Linked DNA regions of Danio rerio. The protein of the gene in region 5 interacts with the protein of the main gene of each other region in a biochemical or structural test. Links are inferred from orthologs where the notes say so. Each region holds a gene or a part of one and is shown on either strand. Other genes may lie near its edges.

What was found.
Region 1: the proteins of raf1b (region 5) and pebp4 form a complex in vitro, tested with the Homo sapiens proteins (2 studies listed by BioGRID). The link is inferred for Danio rerio from reciprocal best matches to the Homo sapiens genes RAF1 and PEBP4.
Region 2: the proteins of raf1b (region 5) and pebp1 form a complex in vitro, tested with the Homo sapiens proteins (3 studies listed by BioGRID and IntAct, with this or other methods). The link is inferred for Danio rerio from reciprocal best matches to the Homo sapiens genes RAF1 and PEBP1.
Region 3: the proteins of raf1b (region 5) and phb form a complex in vitro, tested with the Homo sapiens proteins (2 studies listed by BioGRID). The link is inferred for Danio rerio from reciprocal best matches to the Homo sapiens genes RAF1 and PHB1.
Region 4: of the proteins of raf1b (region 5) and stub1, one has a biochemical effect on the other in vitro, tested with the Homo sapiens proteins (4 studies listed by BioGRID, with this or other methods). The link is inferred for Danio rerio from reciprocal best matches to the Homo sapiens genes RAF1 and STUB1.

What each region holds. Positions count from the first base shown.
Region 1 is NC_133183.1:60,322,560-60,327,395, forward strand, and holds the start of pebp4 (phosphatidylethanolamine-binding protein 4), read left to right. Parts: upstream 1-1,510; 5' UTR 1,511-1,592; intron 1,593-1,770; 5' UTR 1,771-1,782; coding exon 1,783-1,889; intron 1,890-3,709; coding exon 3,710-3,836; intron 3,837-4,836. UniProt on the Homo sapiens protein: Promotes AKT phosphorylation, suggesting a possible role in the PI3K-AKT signaling pathway.
Region 2 is NC_133180.1:16,092,088-16,095,107, reverse strand, and holds the end of pebp1 (phosphatidylethanolamine-binding protein 1), read right to left. Parts: intron 2,346-3,020; coding exon 2,128-2,345; 3' UTR 779-2,127; downstream 1-778.
Region 3 is NC_133178.1:14,400,845-14,405,699, reverse strand, and holds the start of phb (prohibitin 1), read right to left. Parts: upstream 3,371-4,855; 5' UTR 3,345-3,370; intron 2,873-3,344; 5' UTR 2,855-2,872; coding exon 2,770-2,854; intron 1-2,769.
Region 4 is NC_133199.1:43,371,718-43,376,519, reverse strand, and holds the start of stub1 (E3 ubiquitin-protein ligase CHIP), read right to left. Parts: upstream 3,207-4,802; 5' UTR 2,961-3,206; intron 5-2,960; 5' UTR 1-4. UniProt on the Homo sapiens protein: E3 ubiquitin-protein ligase which targets misfolded chaperone substrates towards proteasomal degradation.
Region 5 is NC_133186.1:564,966-569,302, forward strand, and holds part of raf1b (RAF proto-oncogene serine/threonine-protein kinase), read left to right. Parts: intron 1-638; coding exon 639-792; intron 793-1,689; coding exon 1,690-1,714; intron 1,715-1,811; coding exon 1,812-1,909; intron 1,910-2,816; coding exon 2,817-2,934; intron 2,935-4,337. UniProt on the Homo sapiens protein: Serine/threonine-protein kinase that acts as a regulatory link between the membrane-associated Ras GTPases and the MAPK/ERK cascade, and this critical regulatory link functions as a switch determining cell fate decisions including proliferation, differentiation, apoptosis, survival and oncogenic transformation.

The DNA.
Region 1 (4,836 bases), on a different chromosome or scaffold from region 5:
GTTTTTTAAAGAAAATGATTCTGTTCATCAAGGCGGCATTTATTAATTGTACAAATATTGTTAAATTATTAAATATTTAATATTTAAAAAAAATGAAATACCAATTAATATCAAAAACACTCCTAATCGACAACAACAACAATAATAATATGAATTAATAAATAAAGAAATACTAGAGCGTAACAATATACTTTTGAACAGTTATTTTATAGAGCAATAATATTTCACAAATGCACATATTTTACTGTACTTTTGGTGAAATATATATATATATATATATATATATATATATATATATATATATATATATATATATATATATATATATATATATATATATGTGTGTGTGTGTGTGTGTGTGTGTGTGTGTGTGTGTGTGTGTGTGTGTATATATATATAGGCCCTTAAGCAATTTTTTTGATAGTCCATCATTAAAACATCATTATACAATAACTTGCCTAATTACCCTAATCTGCCTAGTTAACTTAATTAACCCAGTTAATCCTTAATGTCATAATGTCACTTTAAGCTGTATAGAAGTGTCTTGTAAAATATATAGTCAAATATTATGTACTATCATCATGGCAAATATAAAATAAATCCATTATTAGAAATGAGTTATTAAAACTATTGTGTTTAGAAATGTGTTGAAGAAATCTTCTCTCCGTTAAACAGAAAGTGGGGGAAAAATAAACAGGGGGGCTAATAATTCTGACATCAACTGAATACAATGACATCATTGGCACCTCACCAATCCCAAGTAGCTAATTGGAGTTTTTCAAACTTGAAAAAAGAAGTTCCTAAAAAAATGTTTAAAAAAAAAATCCATTTAGTTTATGAATTTTTCATTTTTATTTACGTTTATAAAATTTTCAACATAAAAATATTATTGTTATAATTATTTGTTTGTTTGTTTGTTTTATATAACAGAAGATTTAACGTCTTGAAATAACGGCAAATAACACTGCAGGGTTAGAATTTTTCATTTAAAACTAATTCAATGAGTGCCCTATATAGGGTTAATGTAATTTAATATAATAATAATTATTTTTTTGTTTTAATTAATGACTCCCACAGATCTGACCATCGTTTCCACAAGACACAAAATGTAATTCAGTGTAACATTTTATTTACATTCATTTGATTTATCTTATGTGTTTAAGAATCACAATGTAGCTAAAAACTGTCGTTTAAACATTATTTGTTAACTTCCTTTAGACCAAATTTATTTATCAGATACACCTTTAATTTTTAAAAAAGTTCTGAATATGTATGTTTTATTTTCGTTAAAAAATACAAATTAATCCTGTTAGCCTGCACACCTTTTGGTATTCACACCTGATAATAATAAAATTTTTATTAAAGCACCGCTACCCTATCAACAAAGAACATGATTGACAAGTCTACAAACCAATGAGTTGGCGGCTAACAGAAGTGGCAACCAATCGCAGTGAAGAGTGGGCGGCTCCAATGCGTTTCCCTATTTAACTTTGAAACATAATATTAGCTTACTATTTTTAAGTCGACGGCTACAGACTAGTTCCCCGTCTGCAACTAAACGTTAATATCAGCAGGTTTGTCGAGAATTGCAGGTAAATGACACATCAATGTTATCAAATACATGAGTTGTCAACAAACAGACAGATTCTTTTACAGCTTACGTACATTTCTTTTAACATAATGTCTTAAAATGGCGGCTGTTTTGCATACGCAACCTAATAACACTAAATCAGTTAATAACTATCGCCTACACTCCTGTGTTTGTTGAAGGGTCTCTGGAAAATGTATTTATTTTACACGTCGTTGATTCTGTGCGTCCTCTGCGCATGTCACATGACCAAAGCCACCTGTGACGAGCCTTTGACAGCAGAAGATGCTGAATTCTGCAAGTAAGTTTCCATTGTAATGGATGCAATTCCTAAAAGAGTTATAATGCGTTTAAGAGGTTATGGTGGAGTATCCAGTGTTTCGTCTCTACCATCACACCCCTTGGAGTGGGAAATGTATGTTTTTGTCACAACCTTCCTCAATTAATTACAAAATCAGGTCTCTCTTTCAAAAAGGAAGCTGTAACAACCCCATATGTGAAGTTTTATTGGATGGAAGTATATGACCAGATTCAATGGGATAAAAAAGTTTGGTCTTTTTTTTTTCTGTAAAATATTAAAAAACTAAAAAAAAAAAATTAGAGAAATTTAATTTAAATTTAATTAAATTTTACCCAGCCAAGACGTTTTTGAAAAAAAAAAAGAAAAGAAAAAAAGTCAGATCTAATACATGCGTCTCTATCTGTAATATACCCAATGAGACTGCGGATTAAGCATGGGACGATAACTTTTTGCAAGGTATACTGCTGTTTGGAAAAGTCAAGGTTTTAAAACGTCAAAATTCTGCAATACTGTTCCTAAGGTATCACATAAGGTATGTGAAATATTTTTTTTATTTACTTTTTTTTTTTTAAGACAACAGTATCTCCAGCTAAAAAAGATATCCAAAGCTGCCGTTGTGTGTATGTATATATATATATATATATATATATATATATATATATATATATATATATATATATATATATATATATATATATGTATATGTGTATATGTATATATGTATATGTATATATGTATATATGTATATGTATATATGTATATATGTATATATATGTAAAAGTGTTTTGTTACACTGACATTAATAAAAAAATCTACAAGCATATTATATATATATATATATATATATATATATATATATATATATATATATATATATATATATATTACATATACATTTATATTACATATGATTATATATTATATAATAATAAATATCACATTACATATTATTATTATTATTATTATTGATATTATTATTATTATTATTATTATTATTTTCATATTACTTTGTCTTTATATATTTAGAATCATTATTATTTTGCTAAATGTATTTGCTTTATTAAAATAAGACATCATAAAATATAATCAAATCTCTTATTTTTATTCCTATAAATAAATATATCCTGTGAAATATTTATTAATAAAAAAAAATTCCCAACTAATAGCTACTGAAGCAAAGACATTTAAAGGCATTTCTGTTAATGTTTTTTCTTCTAGAGAAAAAACTTATTTGTTTTATTTTGGGTTGAATAAAACCATTTTTTAACTTTTAAAAACTATTTAAAAGTCATTATCATTGGCTCTCATGTGCATTTTTTTCCCGATTGTCTATAGAACAAACCACTGTTGCACAATGATTTGCCTAATCACCCTAACATTATTATTATTATTATTAAAACATCCATTATTTGCTTGTAAATAATAAAATATTATATATAATATATATAAAATATATAAAGCCTATATACCATATGGAGATGTCTTTCAGCTTTCCTCAAGGAGTTCTGGAATAGGGTTAATTTCCAAACCATATTTTCCGAGCTGAACTGATTTGAGAAGTCTGGCTTGTAGGCCGATGTGGGATGTGCAGGACTCCCTCAGAGCTCTGAGTCACGGATGCTCAAGCAGCAGGTCCCACTCAAAACACAAAAACCCACACAACAATTTGTACAACCCTAAAAACTTACTCACTATTTCAACTTTCAGTGCATTCATTGGTTATTCATGACCTTCCATTGGAAACCATTGATTGAATACTGATGCATGGAGTGATATAAACAGCTTGACTTATTCCCCGTACCTCTACTTTTACTCTTTAGGGGAGGGTTAAAGGTGATTTATCCAGATCTGGTTGTTGACAAATGCTTGATCGTCCCTCAGAGGATGAGAGAGAAGATCAGTATGGAGTGGGGATCACCTGAAGTACTCCTGCCACATGCTGAGGAGGTAAGACAAGTTTCCTTCATGACCTCTTGCTGACCTCGTACTCTTTGTTAGCAATTGGCGGTTTAGCCAGTGATTACCCTACTAAATAGGACATGTATGCAAGCTATGTTTTGATGCTGGTTTCAATGCTGGTCTTGCTGGTTCCGATGCTGGTCTTGATGCTGGTTTCGAAACTGATCTTGATGGTCTCTACTGGATTTGCTGTTCTTAAAATGCTGGTCTCGATGGTCTCAATGCTGGACTTGATTGTTTCAATGCTGGTATTGCTGGTTTTAATACTGGTCTTGATGGTTTCCATGCTGGACTTGATGGTCTCGATACAGAACTTTTGATTGTTTTGAGGCTGGTTTTGATGGTTTCGATGATGAACTTGCTGGTGTTGATGCTGGACTTGCTAGTCTTAATGCCGGCCTTTATGGTCAGGACCAGCATTGAGACCAACAAGTCCAGCATTGAGACCAACACTGAAAACCTGGTCTTGCTGGTCTCGATGCCGATTTTTCTGGTTTCAGTGCTGGTTTGATGCTCATCTCGGTGCTGGTCTTGCTGGTTTCGATGCTGGTCCCTCTGGTTTCAGTGCTGGTCTCATTGCTAGTCGGGACCAGCATTGAGATCAGTAAGTCCAGCATTGAGTTCAGTAAGACCAGCATTTAAAACCAGCAAGACTAGTATTGAATCCAGCAAGTATCAAGACCAGCATCAAAACATACTTTATCAGCATATGCTGTTTTTTTTTTTTTTTTTTCTCAGCAAGGTAGCAATTCAATTGAAATGGTTATATTACACATTGTTGTCGAAATCAGAAAAGTAAAGGTGTTGTGCATATGTGTGGACAGATCCGATCGTACATAAACATAGTTAACTTGTAGTTATACAGTAGTGTCCTTCTAAAATGGTGATGTGTATGTGTTTAATACCTATTTATGAAGTGTATTATATGGGCAAACAAGGGTGGGCATCATCGCTTTAAGTCCTCCTAAAGTTGGTAATGGTTCCTCTG
Region 2 (3,020 bases), on a different chromosome or scaffold from region 5:
TGCAAACTTAAATCTAATTTGATTATTTGGTTTGGAATTGGTTGCTTTACATTTTTTGTGCGTTTAAATTAAACATTTTGCAAGATCTTAAAAATTTTCAACTTTTTGTTAATTTTCATTGGATTCAGCAATTGTGGAATTGTGAAAAACTGGAGGGTCTGATAGATTTATTGTAGGAAAAAAAGTAGCAATTTAAATGAGCATCTCCTCAGGATGGCCACAGGCCAAAATAACAAACTAAAGAATATTAATTCATTTTGAGAAAAATGTTGAAATAAAACATTGAGAATAAACTTAAAATATGTACATTTTAAATTTTGAAAAGAATGTTTCAAGAAAATGTTAAGAATAAACTCAGAGAATTCAGAGAAAAAATGTTGTTAAAATGTCTGTAAAGTAAATTAACTAAATAACTTGCGAATCTATAGGAAGCTTACCTTCCTCACTGAACAAAGTCAAAAGTAATGTAAATAAATAGGCAGGCCACCCCTACAAGCTCAAACTCTCAAAAAAGTTCCAAGCATACTTGGACATTTGGACAATATTAATGTTTGGTCATCGGCCGGAGTAGGGAAATCACTCCACTCCAAGCAACAGTCACAACAAAAATGAGCTCCTCGAACTCTGCCGGAAGTTTCATTTTATAGCTCTCTGTGACCAGTAGCCAATCAGAGCCTGGGCCACATTAACATGGGAGCCTATGGGATAACAAAAAACATCACAAGGCGGCAGGACAAAGGAAAAGGCACAATACAGTTCGCAACAAAAATAAATAAACTTTTGTCGTAACATTGTCTTTTATTATCCAGTTTTTTCAATGGAGTCTTTTCCATTATTGAGATACTGTATTTTATAGTGCAGCTATGATTACACAAATCTCGTTTTTTTTAACTGAAGACAGTCTAAGTGCATCAAAGCAAAGTGACAATGAATGAAAGTGTAGACTGAAGTTACTTGTTAAATTAAATTCCATTTCAACCAAAGCAAAATAAGACCTGAAATTCATTTAAAGCAAAAATCCAAACAAAAACAGTTCATTAATTGTTTTTTAAAGGGATTAGTGTTATCACGATACTGGAGTTCGGTACCAATCAATACTGAAATTTGAAAAGTCTATTTTCCAACTAAAATTTGAGTGCATTCTTAAACAGCGCAGATTTTCCATTGCATTCACATGCTCAACAGAAATGACTGTGATTGGCCATAAAGGTCATCAGTTAAGCAAACTCACCGCTGTTTACTGAGAGTGGCCACGGATACAGGGACACTGGAGTGTTTCAAAGCGCAAAGATTAGCTGGTTTTTCTATAAGCTGACATACGAGCGATCTGCTGATGAATCGTTGCTTTAAAATTCTCCAGTGTCCCTGTATTTGTGGTTACACGCAGAAACCACTGGTGAGTTCGTTGAACTGATGACCTTCAAGCCCAATCACAGTGTTTTCTGTTGAGCATGTGAACACAATGGCAAATCAGCGCTGTTTAAGATCATGCTCAATAGCGCGCAAATGTTAGCGGGAAATTTTCAAATTTCAGTATTGATTGGTGCCACATTCCAGTATCGAGACAACCCTAAAAGAGAAAGTTCACTCAAAAATGAAAATGTACACACTCTACGATGTTTCAAAATCTTCATTTCTGGCTTCTGTTGAACACAGAAGAAGATATTTTGAAGAATGCTGGAAACTGATAAACACTGACATCCATAGCAGGAAAAAACAAATACTATGGAAGTCAATGTTTTCCGACTTTCTTCAAAATAACTTCTTTTGTATTCACCAGAATAAAGAAAACAAAACTCATTTGGGAAAAAGTAAAGAATAAACGACAGAATCAGCTGTTTTGAGTGAACTATCCCTTTAAACTACTGAAACTGTATTGAGTTGAGCTCTTCAGACTAAAGCAGTATTTCCTAACCACGTTCCTGGAGGACCACCAGCTCTGCACATTTTCCTGTCTCCTTAAGCAAACACCTGATTCAGATCATCAGCTCATTAGCAGAGACTGAAAGACCTGTGATGGGTTTGATGAACAAAGGAGACATCCAAACATGCAGTGTTGGTGGTTCTCCAGGAGCGTGGTTGAGAATCACTGGACTAAAGGATAACATACATTGTAATTAACAGTCTTTATTTGCCAGCCAGCTGTTCGTAAAGTTTGGGCACATAGTTGTCCCACTCGGCCTGGAAGCAGGAGCCTGCGAGCGGAGCCCCGAGGCTGTATTTCTTGCGGAAGCTCTGGATCTTGAATTTTCCTCGGTTGTCTCCAGAGCGGTTGGTGAGGACTCGTTCAGTGCAGCTGATGTTCCCCGACTGCTCATAAACGAGCCACACGTAACGATGGAGACCTGCAGGAAACCAGATAGTTCAGATGTAACTGCTTTGTATTTGCTGATGGATCTATTTCGCCATTAGGACAATTATGATGTTATCGTCATCTTAAAGTACAGATGAAATCAAAACTAATATTGATTTTGTTAGTTTACAGTAGTTTTGCTAGTTTTGTGGTGAACTAGTCATCTGTGCATGCCGTTAAGAAAAACAAAATGTTTGCTACTTTAATCTGCCATTGAAATATGAAAATGCACTTCCTGTTTGTTTACGATAAAATTGTCAGACTACGCCTGTGTGAGGTAATGGGCATGGCTAACATACTTAACCACGCCCCTCCAACTGTCAATTTTGACAACAAACAGAAATGGTGATGTGGAGGAGTCTGATAGGTTGTAAAAAAGAGCATAGAATGACCAAGAAGCGACAATCTAGTGCATTTTGGGAAACAGTCACTAGATGGCGCGGTGGCCATTTTAGAATGAAAACTCTAATCCGCTTGTTAAGTGGTGACGTGTTTGTGACGTATGTAATACTGTTTCCAGGTCCAAGCCGCCACTCATTTGAGTGGAGAAATCATTCGTTTATGATCACGTTTTATTCCTATCACACATTAAAGTTAATTTTATATAGAATCGTAGTGTACACAACAATCTCTGGGCTTGCTGCAGAACAAATACCAAAAATTTAAC
Region 3 (4,855 bases), on a different chromosome or scaffold from region 5:
GTTCTAATATGTTGATGAATGACTCCTTTATGTAGTCACCATCTGTGAACGGTTTTCCATGCTTTATTATCTCCCGGTTTGTTTACAACAGCCACCTGCCCGGCATCTTGCCCTGCTGATAGAAACCTGTGTCGCAGGCTATGACGCAAATCTTCGTTGACAGAAATGTTGAAATTAAATATTAATTCTACACACTTTTACAGCATTTGAAAACGTTAAAAATGTTTGTCCTCCAATAGAAATCATATTAAAACAAAAATATATACTAACCTTCCCCATCTTTTTGAACACTTTTGAAAAAACTTAAGGGAGCCACAAGGGCATCGCTAAAGAGCCGCATGTGGCTCTAGAGCCGCGGGTTGCTGACCCCTGATTTAGTTGAATGAAAGTCAGGTTTCAAACATGCAACGCTCCTCTATGACTCACCCCACTGACAAAGCTCCAGAATTTCTTTCCCCATACATGAGCTCATTTGTCCTATTTTGTCTGCTATGCCATTATAAATTGTGAAATAACCCATCTAAGAAAGCTTTAAGACCAAGCAAAATCTGACGCAAGTGAAGCCATCTTTCACTACTGACCTACTGTACTGTTGTTAAATAGAGAAAATATTTACAAGTAACTTTTAATCTAAATCCTGGACCTTATTTTTGAAAGAGCAGAAAAATAAAAAGACCAATAAAAAGGTGTTAAGCACCAAAAGTTCATTTTGAAGTCCCTGTGCATTTACTGTAGAAACACACAAACAACATAGCAGCGGGCAGAGAACTCATAGAGAAATGTTGTGCTTTATGAAATGAACAATAAAATAAAAATAAAAATAAAACGGCCACACAAGCACACCTGCTAAAAAAAAACAAAAAACAGCATGATTTAGAGTTCTCAGTCACACACACAGACACACAGACACACACAGACACACACACACACAGACACACACACAGACAGACACACAGACAGACAGACACACAGACAGACAGACACACACACACACACACACACAGACACACAGACACACAGACACACAGACACACAGACACACAGACACACAGACACACACACAGACACACACACAGACACACACAGACACACACACAGACACACACAGACACACACACACACACACACACACACACACACACACACACACGGGCTACATAAAGTGCAATTCGATAAATGTAATTTGATGAATGAAAAGTAAAATAAAAATTGACAAGCAAAATCTAGATGTTCCTCGACTTGGACAAAAAAATTTCCATGACTTTAAATATCTGAAATAAACATTTTAAAAATGAACTATTAAGATCCTTTTTTGCAGGATGAAAAATAAATATTGCTTTATAACCATTTTGAAACTGCCCCTTTTAGGCTTTGGTCCAAATTACGCCGCTTCTTTGTGACTGCCGCTTGAAATGTAAACTAGCTTTTGCTCTGTGCAAAGGCAGGTGGAGCTATAAATGTCAATGCGTCAGCATAGTGGCAGATTCATTAACAGTACTTAAGGAGATCTCTGTGAAAACTGAAAATGTGAAAGAAACGTCTCAAAAGAAGGCAGTCTATGGAGACTACAGTGTTCATTTGCGCATCTAAAACTTCACATTAATAGTGCCTTATAGTCAGTGTCATTATCTTCAGCAGGTGAACACTCTAAAGCCGCCTTTCCACTGCACATCACATTTGAACACGACTGTCGGAATACTCCCCCTTGTGGCAGTCGCACAGAACTTTCAGTTTTGTCGTGCACCATGGGAGAGAAGATGTTCTCACAGCGTCAGTAATAAAAGAGTGCAAAAGCAAGAGCCTTTACTCTCTGGGTGTCCACCATGGTTGAATGAATGAATCAACACTAGAAACTCAGACCGCTAAAAATGTTGGCGGGAATGTGGAAACAAACAAAAAAAAGTATTTTTATGACTCATTTATGAACAAAACATTTTTTAATATAGACTTTTTTCTGATTTAAGAAAAAAAAAAATCCTATTTCTCATCTCGCACGCACAGACCTGCCTGGACAACACTGAACTACATCACATGCGGTCGGTCGTATACGGTGTAGTCGCAGGAGTTCAAATATTTCCAACAGCAGCTCTGCAGCTCATATCGGATCCAAATTTTCCACATACGGAGAGAATCTGAACTCTACGCAGCTCCCGGACTACTCTCCATTGGAAATTCAACGTCTTCCAGTCTTTCGCTTGTCGTGTGCAGTGGAAGGGCGACTTAATGGCGAATGGCTGCTTCTCACTCAGGGCTGTTTATGCTAATGAGGCAGAGATCGTCACTAATGGACGGGCTTTCCCCCTCTGATGACAGGTACAATGTCAATCAAGGTGTTCATGCAGACTGTTTATCAAGTCTGATTATAATACTATTAATAAAACTATTGGATAATAATATAATATAATAAATAACTATAATAAAACTATTGTTTTACCATTACAAGCTGGTTATATTCACACACGGTTGCCACACAACTGCATTTAAACCACTTAGAAAACTGATATATGCACAAATGACCCCCTTTAAAACTCATGATATTCACAAAAATTCCAAGACCCATGGGAACTCTAAATATAGCAATATAAAGTTGCAATATTGTGCATTCCTATGACCTATCGACAGCCTCAATGTGGATAAAATTAACAACAAATTTAATTTGTTGCGTGTAAGCCCTTTAAATTGACCTTATTAGAATACTTATAGGAATTAAATGCTTTAACCATTGCTGCCATTGTTTTACAAAACACATCAGTAGTTATTACAACTCACCATTGTACAGAGCAGAGTTAACAACACCTCCTCCAATGGCCAAGGCCAATCCCAGCTTCCCAATGGACTCAAAGAGCTTCGCCATGACAACAAAGTGACAGTCCTGCGGGGAAAACACATTCATCTTCAGTATCTCATCATGGGTGATCTCTTGTGCATATAGAGCCCTTGGGTAATCAAACCAATGCTAGCCGGTTTAGCCTTGACTCTGACAGTGACACTGACATCAATGTAACGTGCTAATCTGATCTCACTCTAACCGGTCACTGGAAAAATCACAAGTAAAACTGCACAATATACACATATATACACCACTTAAAAACAATTGCTATTACAATAACACATGTGACACAGATTAACAGGCATTAATACAATCCGCAGTAGTGAACTTCACTCATTTATTAGCCTGCTACACGCTAATGATGCAACTGTCATGCAATAACGCCAACAAACACCCACACGTCGTGTTTATTTCACTTTCATACTGTCGCGTTATAATTACCGATGCTTTGTGAGTAAAACAAAAGCTTTAAGTTCGCATTTAAATGTAAGTCTCCTAAAACGTGAGCACTTACCCGCTGCGCTGAATGATCACAGTGACCTCCACCGGAGCCTGCGCAAGAAACACATGAGCAGGTGGAGCTTGCGCATGCGCAGAACAGTGTCAACATGAGTTTCTCCGATTGGATAGAGAGACACAAACCGAACGCCCTCTTGAGTAAGGAGGATTATTATTGGCGTACATCTCACGTTGCTTTAGAACGAGGTGGGTTCACTGCAATGCAATATGTGGGCGTTCCTTATTTCATTTTGTAATGACTTTAATTTATGTACTGTTATTGATACTTAAATGTCTTATGCTCAAGTTTATATCATGTTCTTTATTCATTTTTTCTTCTGTCTTTCTCTCTCTTATATTTTTTTATTGACAATGTAATTCATATTGCGTATTGTAAACAAATATTGCTACAAACTTGTCATGTGGGCGTTCTTTCGACTGCTTAAAGCTATAGTCCAACCACGTTCAAATACTGAAAATATGTTTTCAACATCGTTTAACACCTGTAACCATTGACTTCCATAGGAAAAACCAATAGTATGGAAGTCAATGGTTACCAGTTTCCAACATTTTTCAAAATAACTTATTTTGTGTTCAAAGAACGAAACACATTCATTTATTTTCTTTAGCTTAGTCCCTTTAAGGGTTGCCACAACAGAATGAACCGCCAACTTATCCAGCATATGTTTTACACAGTGGATGCCCTTCCAGCTGCAATCCATCACTGGGAAACACCCATACATACTCATTCACCTATACCACATGTTTTTGGGAGAAACTGGACCACCAAGGAGAAACCCACAACAACACGGGGAGAACATGCAAACTCCACACAGAAACGCCAACTGACCCAGCCAAGGCTCGAACCAGCAACCTTCTTGCTGTGAGGCAAATGTGCTACCCACTGCGCCACCGTGCAGTGAGCTTTTATTATTATTTTTATTTCATTGCTGTTGAAAGTGAGAGTGGTATAAAATTGCTACATTTTTCTACTGCAATTCCTGTACAGAGGCTTTACTACTAGTGTACCACATGCTGTATGAAAACAGAAAAGGACGTTTATTTATATAGCACTAATACCCCAAGATCATCAAGCATATCAAGACTCTTTGGATTCATCTTCAATGCCTCCTCCTCCATATTACCCCAGACATGCTCAATAATGTTCATCTCTGGTGGCTGGGCTGGCCATTCCAGGAGCACCTTGACCTTCTTTGCTTTCAGGATCTTTGATGTGGAGGCTGAAGTATGAGAAGGAGCGCTATCCTGTTGAACAATTTGCCTTCTCCTGTGGTTGGTAATGTAACGAGCAGCACAAATGTCTTGATACCTCAGGTTGTTGATGTTGCCATCCATCTCTTGCATGCCTCCACACTGAATGTAACCAAACCATGATTTTTTCTTAACCAAACTTGACTGATTTCTGTGAGAATCGTGGGTCTTTGTGGGTTCCAGTAGGTCTTCTGCAGTGTTTGTGATGATTGGGATGCAGCTCAACAGATGATTCATCTGAAAAACTACCTTCTG
Region 4 (4,802 bases), on a different chromosome or scaffold from region 5:
ACCTCTCAGAAACACACAAGGAAAATATGAGCCACAGTAATGCAGGTGCAAAATCATAACAATATTCTTATGGGGTCAATTTTATTAGCCACCATAAGAATATACATTCAAAACAGTTTGTTAGAAACAATGATATGCTTTGCGTGTTTGTTTTTATGTTTATATAAGTGCTATTTTCATTTATAGCTCTTGATTTTTGCATTGATTTTTAATATCTCTTGTTTAAATACACTATGAACAGCAGCTACGCTAATTATTTTCTTTATTTTCTATTTCCACCTGGGGATACTCATCCCGAGGCCTCTAGAGATTGTGCAGCGCCATTGATGTGATCCAAGACCTGTGAAGAAATGATGCCAACCGCAGAGCACTTCTAGAGGTCTCCATAATCCTGGACCAGGCCGTATCCTGAGCAGATATCAGGGCCGGAGTGGGACTCATTTTCAGCCCTGGAGTTTCAAGCCAGACCAGCCCACCTCGACTGATTACATTAAAATAAGGTCATTTCCAATTCAGTTTCTAATGACACTATCACATCTTTTTTGAGAAAACAGCTGCTTTAGAAATTCAAATGTTCAACAACCCTTACAGTATTATGTCATAAAAACGAAAAATAATAATAATAATTTTTCAGGTGAGATTCGAACATGGGTCGGAAGTTTCGCAACGCAACGTGCTTTCCACTGGACCACAATGGCGCTATTCCAGTGGGAATAAAAAATAAAGATTACACTGTGAACGGCAAGACATAGTATTACTTTGATGGCTAAATCATTTTCTCCTTTTAGATTTCTGATCAAGTTTTGTCAGATTTAATGTAGTAAATCATCTGATTTTCATTGAGCAGGTGTATTATTCATTAATATTAATTATTCAAATTCTTATAATCACTAAGGTGCCACTGTTTGGGGTCGAATGATTAGTTACATCATCATTAACGTTAGTAAACCTGCAGGCTGCATTTTGCTCACGGAGCAGCAAGAAAAAAAATAAATAAAAAGAGCGGCGCTGCGGCAAAATAATGAAAAACAAAAAAAAAGAGTGAGGCTATGGTCAAATTAATAAATAAATAAATGAAAAAAGTGTGACTGCTGAGAGTGCAAGCAGCTAGGGACACTGGCCCTCACGGCCAAAAAACGGACCGACCCACCAGGAATTCTCTCGGTTCGCCAATCCGGGCCTGGCAGATATTGTGGTTGTCATGGAGGAGCTGAGAGCATAAGACTGATGCCTGAATCACCCCAGTGACAAACAAGTCCTCACATTTATCAAGTGGGCCAGCCTGAACACACGCCGGTGACCTACTCACACTTGCATCTTCTCCACGATGGACATCCAGCGTTCTCCAGCCTCCGGCGCCTAGACTGCTTTTCTGCAGTTTGGTCAGAGGAGAAATGGTCGTGCCCAACAGAGCCGGTTTCTCTCCAGGTTTTTTCCTTCACTTCAATCACGTCAATTGGTGAAGATTGTTCCTTCGCTGTTGCCACTGGCTTGCTTGGTTTGGGAATTGTGGAGCTGCGCATCGATGGATTTGCTCTTCAGTGTTTGAACTCTCAGTATTGAATATTAAACCACACTGAACTAATCTAAACTGAACTCCAACTCTGAAAACTGGACTGACAGTTTACACTATCACTATATCACTATAATCTTCTATGTTAAGCTGCTTTAACACAATCTGCATTGTAAAAGCGCTACAGAAATCAAGATATTTTTCAATTAGCTACAGAACAAACCATCATTATACAATGACTTGCCTAGTTAACATAATTAAGCCTTTAAATGCTGAATACAAGTATCTTGCAAAAACTTGCACGACCCTCAATTGGTACTAATGGACCCAAAGTGTGCTAAAAAAATCTCCCCCACACCAATACACCACCACCACCAGCTTAAACCGCTGACACAAGGAAGGATGGATTCATGCTTTTATGCTGTTGACGTCAAATTCTGACCCGAGCATCTGAATGTGTCAGCAGAAATGGAGACTCATCAGAGCAGGCAACGTTTCTCCAATCTTCTATTGTCCAGTTTTGGTGAGTCTGTGTGAATTGTAGCCTCAGTTTCCTGTTCTTAGCTGACAGGAGCGGCACCCGGTGTGCTCTTCTGCTGCTGTAGCCCATCCGCCTCAAGGTTGGACGTGTTGTGTGTTCAGAGATGCTCTTCTGCAGACCTTGGTTGTAACGAGTGCTTATTTGAGTTTCTGTTGCCTTTCTATCAGCTGGAACCAGTCTGGCCATTCTCCTCTGACCTCTGGCATCAACAAGGCATTTGTGCTCACAGAACTGCCGCTCACTGGATATTTCCACTTTGTCGGAGAATTCTCTGTAAACCCTAGAAATGGTTGTGCGTGAAAATCCCAGTAGATCAGCAGTTTCTGAAATACTTAGACCAGCATGTCTGTTATCAACATCCATGCCACGTTCAAAGTCACTCAAATCCCCTTACTTCCTCATTCTGATGCTCGGTTTGACCTGCAGCAGATCGTCTTGACCATGTCTACATGCCTAAATGCATTAAGCTCCTGTCGGTGAGTGTATACTCTACATTTTTCTGATTTTGATTGAAATGTATTAACGTGCACCTTTTGTAGAGCTGCTGTTCATATAGTAGAAATGATTAAAATGAATTGTTTAATGTACATCACACACACACACACACACATCTGGACAACAGTAACACACATCTGGACACTGACAGTTGTGTGAAATCATTCATGACTCTTTATGCAGCTCTGTGAACTTAAAACACACACAATCCAACAGTTAATCACTAAAATTAAGCACTACCAACGAGTAAATGTAATTTCACGTCGATCAGAAATTAAACTCCTGTGCCTGACACATAAGCACATTCACACACACTTTACAAGCTAACAACCAGGTCAGCGCTGAGAATAAACACGCTTAGAGATTAAATCAGATGGTTTGAATATGAAATATGGATTATTTGAGGCGTACCGGGTTTGACTGCTGGACTGACGCCTGTCGTTAGCAAACCGGTAGCGACACTGGTGCTTTGATGATCACTTTTGGATCCCTGATAGCGAATGAAACGCGGCCAAACTCATATTCCGACTCGATCATGACATTAAGATGACAAATGTCCGACGTTTTCATCGGCGATCCTCAAAAACACGACATTTTACCCGCGGGTGTGAGACGCTAGCATCATGTTTCGGTTGTTTTGACTCTGCCGTCACTGTGACGTCGCCGGAGGTGACGATCGGAAGCTCGTTGCCAACGTAATAACGCCACCTGTCGGCGACGTGCAGGAGTTTAATTTCATAATAATAATAATTAGATAAAATATATAAATAAATATGAAAACAGTTATAATAATAATGCTTGATTATTATCATTATTTATTCTACATTTTACACGTTTTTTTCCGGTTACACATTTTAAAAAGTGTTCTAGAAAAGCATGTAATAAAAATATAAATAACTGACTTAATTTCTACTTCAGCATATAATTTTGAGCTTTCTAATGACTTTTAATTCTTATGACTTTAATACCTTATTTATAATTTTGACCTTTAAGTAACAGAGTAAGCCATAATTGCTCATTTTTTATTAAGAATTACAAAAAAAGTCTTAATTTCTTCTTTAAATATTTTTTTTCATGTAGTTATAGAATTTAGCTATATAATTTAATATAAAAATACATCAAATGTCTTTAATTCTCCTGTAAAAATGTGCATTTTGTATTTAATTTTTGTTTAGAGACATTTTAGAGTCACCCTAAAAAGCTGCATCATATTTTAGGTGCAAAACAATGAGTTTGCTAAAATGATGTGAATAATTTAATAATAAACATACTCAAATTCAGATTGCAATATAATTTCTTGCTGAACACCAAACACATTCAGAAAAATAATATATTAACATTAAAGAACAGTAAAAGAGTCACCAAACACCATTTCAGTTCATAAACCATATAATGCACTTAAATGAGGACAACATGAACAGTCGACAAGTAAGACAAGTAGAAAAAATACATGAATCAAAATGTGAATAATTATGATGATAATATATAATTCATTAGTGTTATCATCATTTTTACTCTACATTTTAGTTTTTTTGTGATTATTAATTTTAAAACTTTAAAAATGTTCAAGATAATGTGCTTTCTTATCACTTCTAATTTTGATTTAGGTATAACATTTCTTTTTTTTAATACCCTATTTATAATTTTGACCTTTAAATAACTCAGAGTAAGCCATAATTGCTCATTTTAATTAACATTTATGAAGAATGCCGTCATTTCTTCTTTAAATTTTTTTTTCATGTAATTACATAATTTAGTCATAGACTTTATTATAAAAATAAGTCAAATGTCTCTAATTCTTCTGTAAAAATGTGAATTTTGTATTCAGTTTTTGTTTAGAGATATTTTAAAGTCCCCCCAAAATAGCTGCATCATATTTTAGGTGCAAAACAATGAGTTTGCTGAAAATGATGTGAATAATAATAAATGTACTCAAATTCATGTTGTAATGTTATTTCCTGCTGAACACCAAACACATTCAGATAAATAATATATTAACATTAAGAAACAGTAAAAGAGCCCTCATTCACCAAACACCATTTCAGTTCATAAACCATATAATGCACTTTAATGAGGACAACATGAACAGTCGACAAGTAGAAAAGTATATGTAAACAAATGTGAATAATTATAATACATAATTCATTAGTTTTATCATTAATTACTCTACATTTGCAGTTTCTTTGTGATGATTAATTTAATAACTAAAAATGTTCAAGATATTGTGCAATGATTTAATTTCTACTTAAGCTA
Region 5 (4,337 bases):
GTCCCCGTCCTCAGAAGTGATGATAACCCACTGTTGCAGTGTGCTAAATACATATTTTTATTTTATTTGTAATCGATTTATTCTTTTAAAACTTTAATTTTAATTTATGCAATTGCAATTCCTTGATCCTAGTAAGGTTACTACACCGTTATAGCTGTAAATGCAGTGGAGCTAGTAATTGGCATCGTTTATTTTGGTTTCCTTTTTTTCAGTTTCGGCCAAGTTTGTTAGTTTCAGTGCATCCCTAAAGGTAATCTATCCCTCTCTCTATGTTTAGCTCAAATCTAGTGAACTGACCCAACAAGTCCACTGAAAATTAAAACGAGCCAAAGCGCCCCTTTGTTTTCTTTTTCCCCCGGTGGTATTGAATTACACTTGTAGTTTTTTTTTAATTTGGGTGTTTTCCTTTTGTCATCTAATGTAGGTTGCATCACCAATCTGCTATTATAATCTGCCTCATGATGTTCTAATCTATAGTAAATTATTATTATTATTATAAATACTGAAGGGTGGTATTTACTCATAACCATCTGAAATGATTGGCTTTAGAATCTGCTCAGATCTGAGCCTAAATACTCCCTCGCACCTTCTCAGAAAAGCCTAATTCCTGTATGTTCTGACTGTAAAACCTTCTCCAGTCCCTATCACAGATACTCAACGCCAAATGCATTGAACTACATCACACCCCTGCCGTCCCCTGGAGTCTCTCTGGGCCATAAAGTCTTGTCCACATCCACACCCAATGTCCACATGGTGAGCACAACCCAGCCAGTCGATGAAGCTGCTTATCAGGTAATCCGCCAGTGTCACCAGTGTCTTCATGAATACTCAGATAACATTCTGAATTTGCTGCTTTTCTTATGATTCTGAGTTATACTAATGCAAGTTTTTATTGACCGCAGAATCAAACATTTGACTTAAAAAATCTCACTATTCAGACTCGCACAATTGTTTGTGTCTCAGTTCAGATTGATGATATCTCTTATTTTTGCTCTGAGTTTTTCCCCCTCACAAATCCAAGTTAAGTTCTCATGTTTTTTTGTTCTTATTGTGTTTTTTTGTCATGCAATTTTAAGTTAAGCTTGTAAATCTCACATTTTTGCTCACAGCACTTTTGGAAGTATTAATGCCTTTTAGGTCTTTAATTGGGTCCCGAACTATCGACTTTTTTGTCACAAGCTAATATCTTGTTTTTATTTTATTTTTTTGTTATGTTTGTTGAAAATTGCTAGTTGATTTCTGATGTTTTCAGACTTTTTCTGACATGCAATTTCAAGTTGAGCTCATAATTCTCACTTTTTCCTCACAGTTTTGAGTTTCTAATTTAAATTTTTCGATTTTAATTTGAAATTCAAAAGAGTTTTGTTGGAAAAAGCTCAGAATTACAATTTATAAGTCAGCTTTGAGCCATAAAATAAACTTATTCAGTGAGCTTCATGCATTTCAGCCAGTTTTTCTGTGTGCGCTTGATTTAATTTCTCACGAATCCAAGTTGATTTTCCATGTTTTTGTTTCATTTGTGAGATTTTTTGGTCATGCAATTTTAAGTTAAGCTCGTAAATCTCACTTTTTCTCCTCACTGCTCTTTTCTATTCGAAAATGATCATCATTAATGCCTTTTTAAACTATTATTGCATCTCCTCTTGATCTTCTCGTGTGCTAAAATGATTCTCCCCTCTTCATTCTCAGGAAGCCTTAAGGCATGATGAATCAGGTAAAGGGTTTTTCATGATTTCCCCCAGATTTCGCTGTGAAGCTGAGGCTAAAATGTGTGCTTACCTGCCTCATTTATCTGTCACCTTAACTCACAGGAAGCCCTCAAAACTTAAGCCCGACCGAATGGTCCAAAACCCCAGCTCCAGCTCACAGGGAGAAAGCGCCTTCGAGTAACACTCAGGAAAAACGAATCGTAAGTGACACGAACATCCACTTTACTGTAAAACGTGATGAGAAATCACAACCAAACTTTAAAACAAACGTTATCAAGTGTTTCCACAGAGTTTAGATTAGTTTCTTGCTACTCATCAACACAGTAAAATTAACTAGTTTCTTTAAAAAGTGAGTGAACCTGTTGCAACTAAGTGGACTTAATTATGATAATCATGTACATATTTCATGCTCTTAATAATGTTAAGGCATCAGGCTCACTCAGTGTTTAAAGTAAAGTCAACTAATCGTGTTTACAGTGTAGTTTAAACATGATTTCATGATCCGGGCAGGTGTGTAGAACAAATTATTATTATTATTTTCATTGCATGACATTTCTATTAAAGCTTGTTTATGAATATAAAACACTGAAATGTAAGATGTAAGCGCTGCAGTTCTGACTTTTTTCCTCACAATTGTGAGTTTGTTCCTTTAATTTCCACTGCCGACTTGTTTTCTCTGAATACTGAGAAAGCACTCTGAATTTACTACTGAATAATCATTTGCACCTTAATTTTTTACAATTAAATCTCACTATTCAGGTTTGCTCTACAGAATTGTTTGCTTCTCACAATTTAGATGTTTTTTTAAAGTTAATATATTTAATTGTTTCCTATTTTAGATTTTTTTCTGGTGATATTTTCAGGCTTTTCTTCACTGAAGTGTGTGTTTATGTCATAGGATTTGAGGTTAAGCTCATCATTCTCACATTATTTCTCACAGCTTTAAGCTTTTTTTTTAAAAATAAAACAAAAGGTTTGGATTGTAAAATAAGTGCAATGTAATAAGTAAGTTTTAAGGGATAAAGTAGGTTTTCTTTAAGTAAGCAGTCATGCATTGAGTCAGTTTTGTGTGCGCTGTAGTTAAAGTTGTTGTTGTCTGTGTGTTAGCGTCCTCGAGAGAAGAGAGACTCCAGCTACTACTGGGAGATCGAGGCCACTGAGGTGCTTTTGCTCTCCCGGATCGGCTCAGGCTCTTTCGGCACAGTTTACAAAGGGAAATGGCACGGTAAGACTCCTTTCTCTTCAGCATTTGATGTATTTCTTGTAACACCGTTTGTTATTGTTAGTTGTTTTTTGAATTCCAGTAGTATTTAGGCAGATTAAAGAGGCAGCTGTGTCAGCCACAAGACATTCTCTGTACCATAGTGTCTGTGTTGCAGTTTATAAGTATGATACAACATTATAATTATACCTTTTTACTTTTATTTTTATACTTTTATAAAGTAATACTAATATTATGAGTGAATTCCCCATGATTGTGTAGCCTGCAGAACTCATCTGACAGAGCGTTTAAAGGCCTCTTCAGGTGTTTTGAGTTCATTAGCTGATCAGGGTGGCACCAGCTCTCATCAATACTCAACCTTTTCACAATATACTCATTTCCCGAGGTATTGGTTGTATGTTTATAATATTATGTTTATAATATTCCCCAAGTGACATTAAATGGTGTAAATAACCAGCTATAGTCAATATTATCTTGAGGAAATCTTTTTTATAGTCTATAGAATAAACCACTGTTATACAATGACTTGCTTAAGTTACTTAATTACCCTAGTGAAGTCTTTAAATGTCACTTTAAGCTGAATACTAGTGTCTTAAAGAATATTTAGTCTAATATTATGTGCTGTCATCATGACAAAGAGAAAATAAATCAGTTATTAAACTATTATGGTTAAAATTTTGACAAATCTCATCCCTGTTAAACAGCACTTTGGAAATATTTGTAAAATAATTACCGTTTCACAGGAGGCAAATCATTTAGTGTTCAACTATATATAAACAAACAACAAATAATCTGTATACTGCAGCTTTAAATGCAGCTATCATATTAATATGACCATATCATATACTAATAGATGCATTAGCTCAACTTGATTATTAGTTAAGAATTTGACCCTATGAAAACTGCAGTATGCACTCAGTGATCCTAAAATAGCCCTGCTCTGCAATAAATATTGTTGTATTGATGATTCAGATTAATTGCATATTCCCTGTCATGCATTTATAAATGTGCACGTGCAGTTGAAGTCAGAATTATTAACCCCCTGATGTTTTCACCAATATCTGTTTAACAGAGAAGTTTTCTCCAGCACATTTCTAATCATAATAGTGTTGATAACTCATCTCTAATATCTGATTTATGTTCTCTTTGTCATGATGACAGTAAATAATATTAGACTAGATATTCTTCAAGACACTAGTGTTCAGCTTAAAAGTGGCATTTAAAGGGTTAACAGAAACTAATATAGTTTAAAGGGGCTAATAATATTGACCTTAAAATGGTGTTTAAAAAATTAAAAACTGTTTTTATTCTATCCGAAATAAAACAAATAAGACTTTTTTTCAGAAGAACAAATATTATCAGACATACTGTGAACATTTCCTGAATCTGTTCAACATCATTTGGGA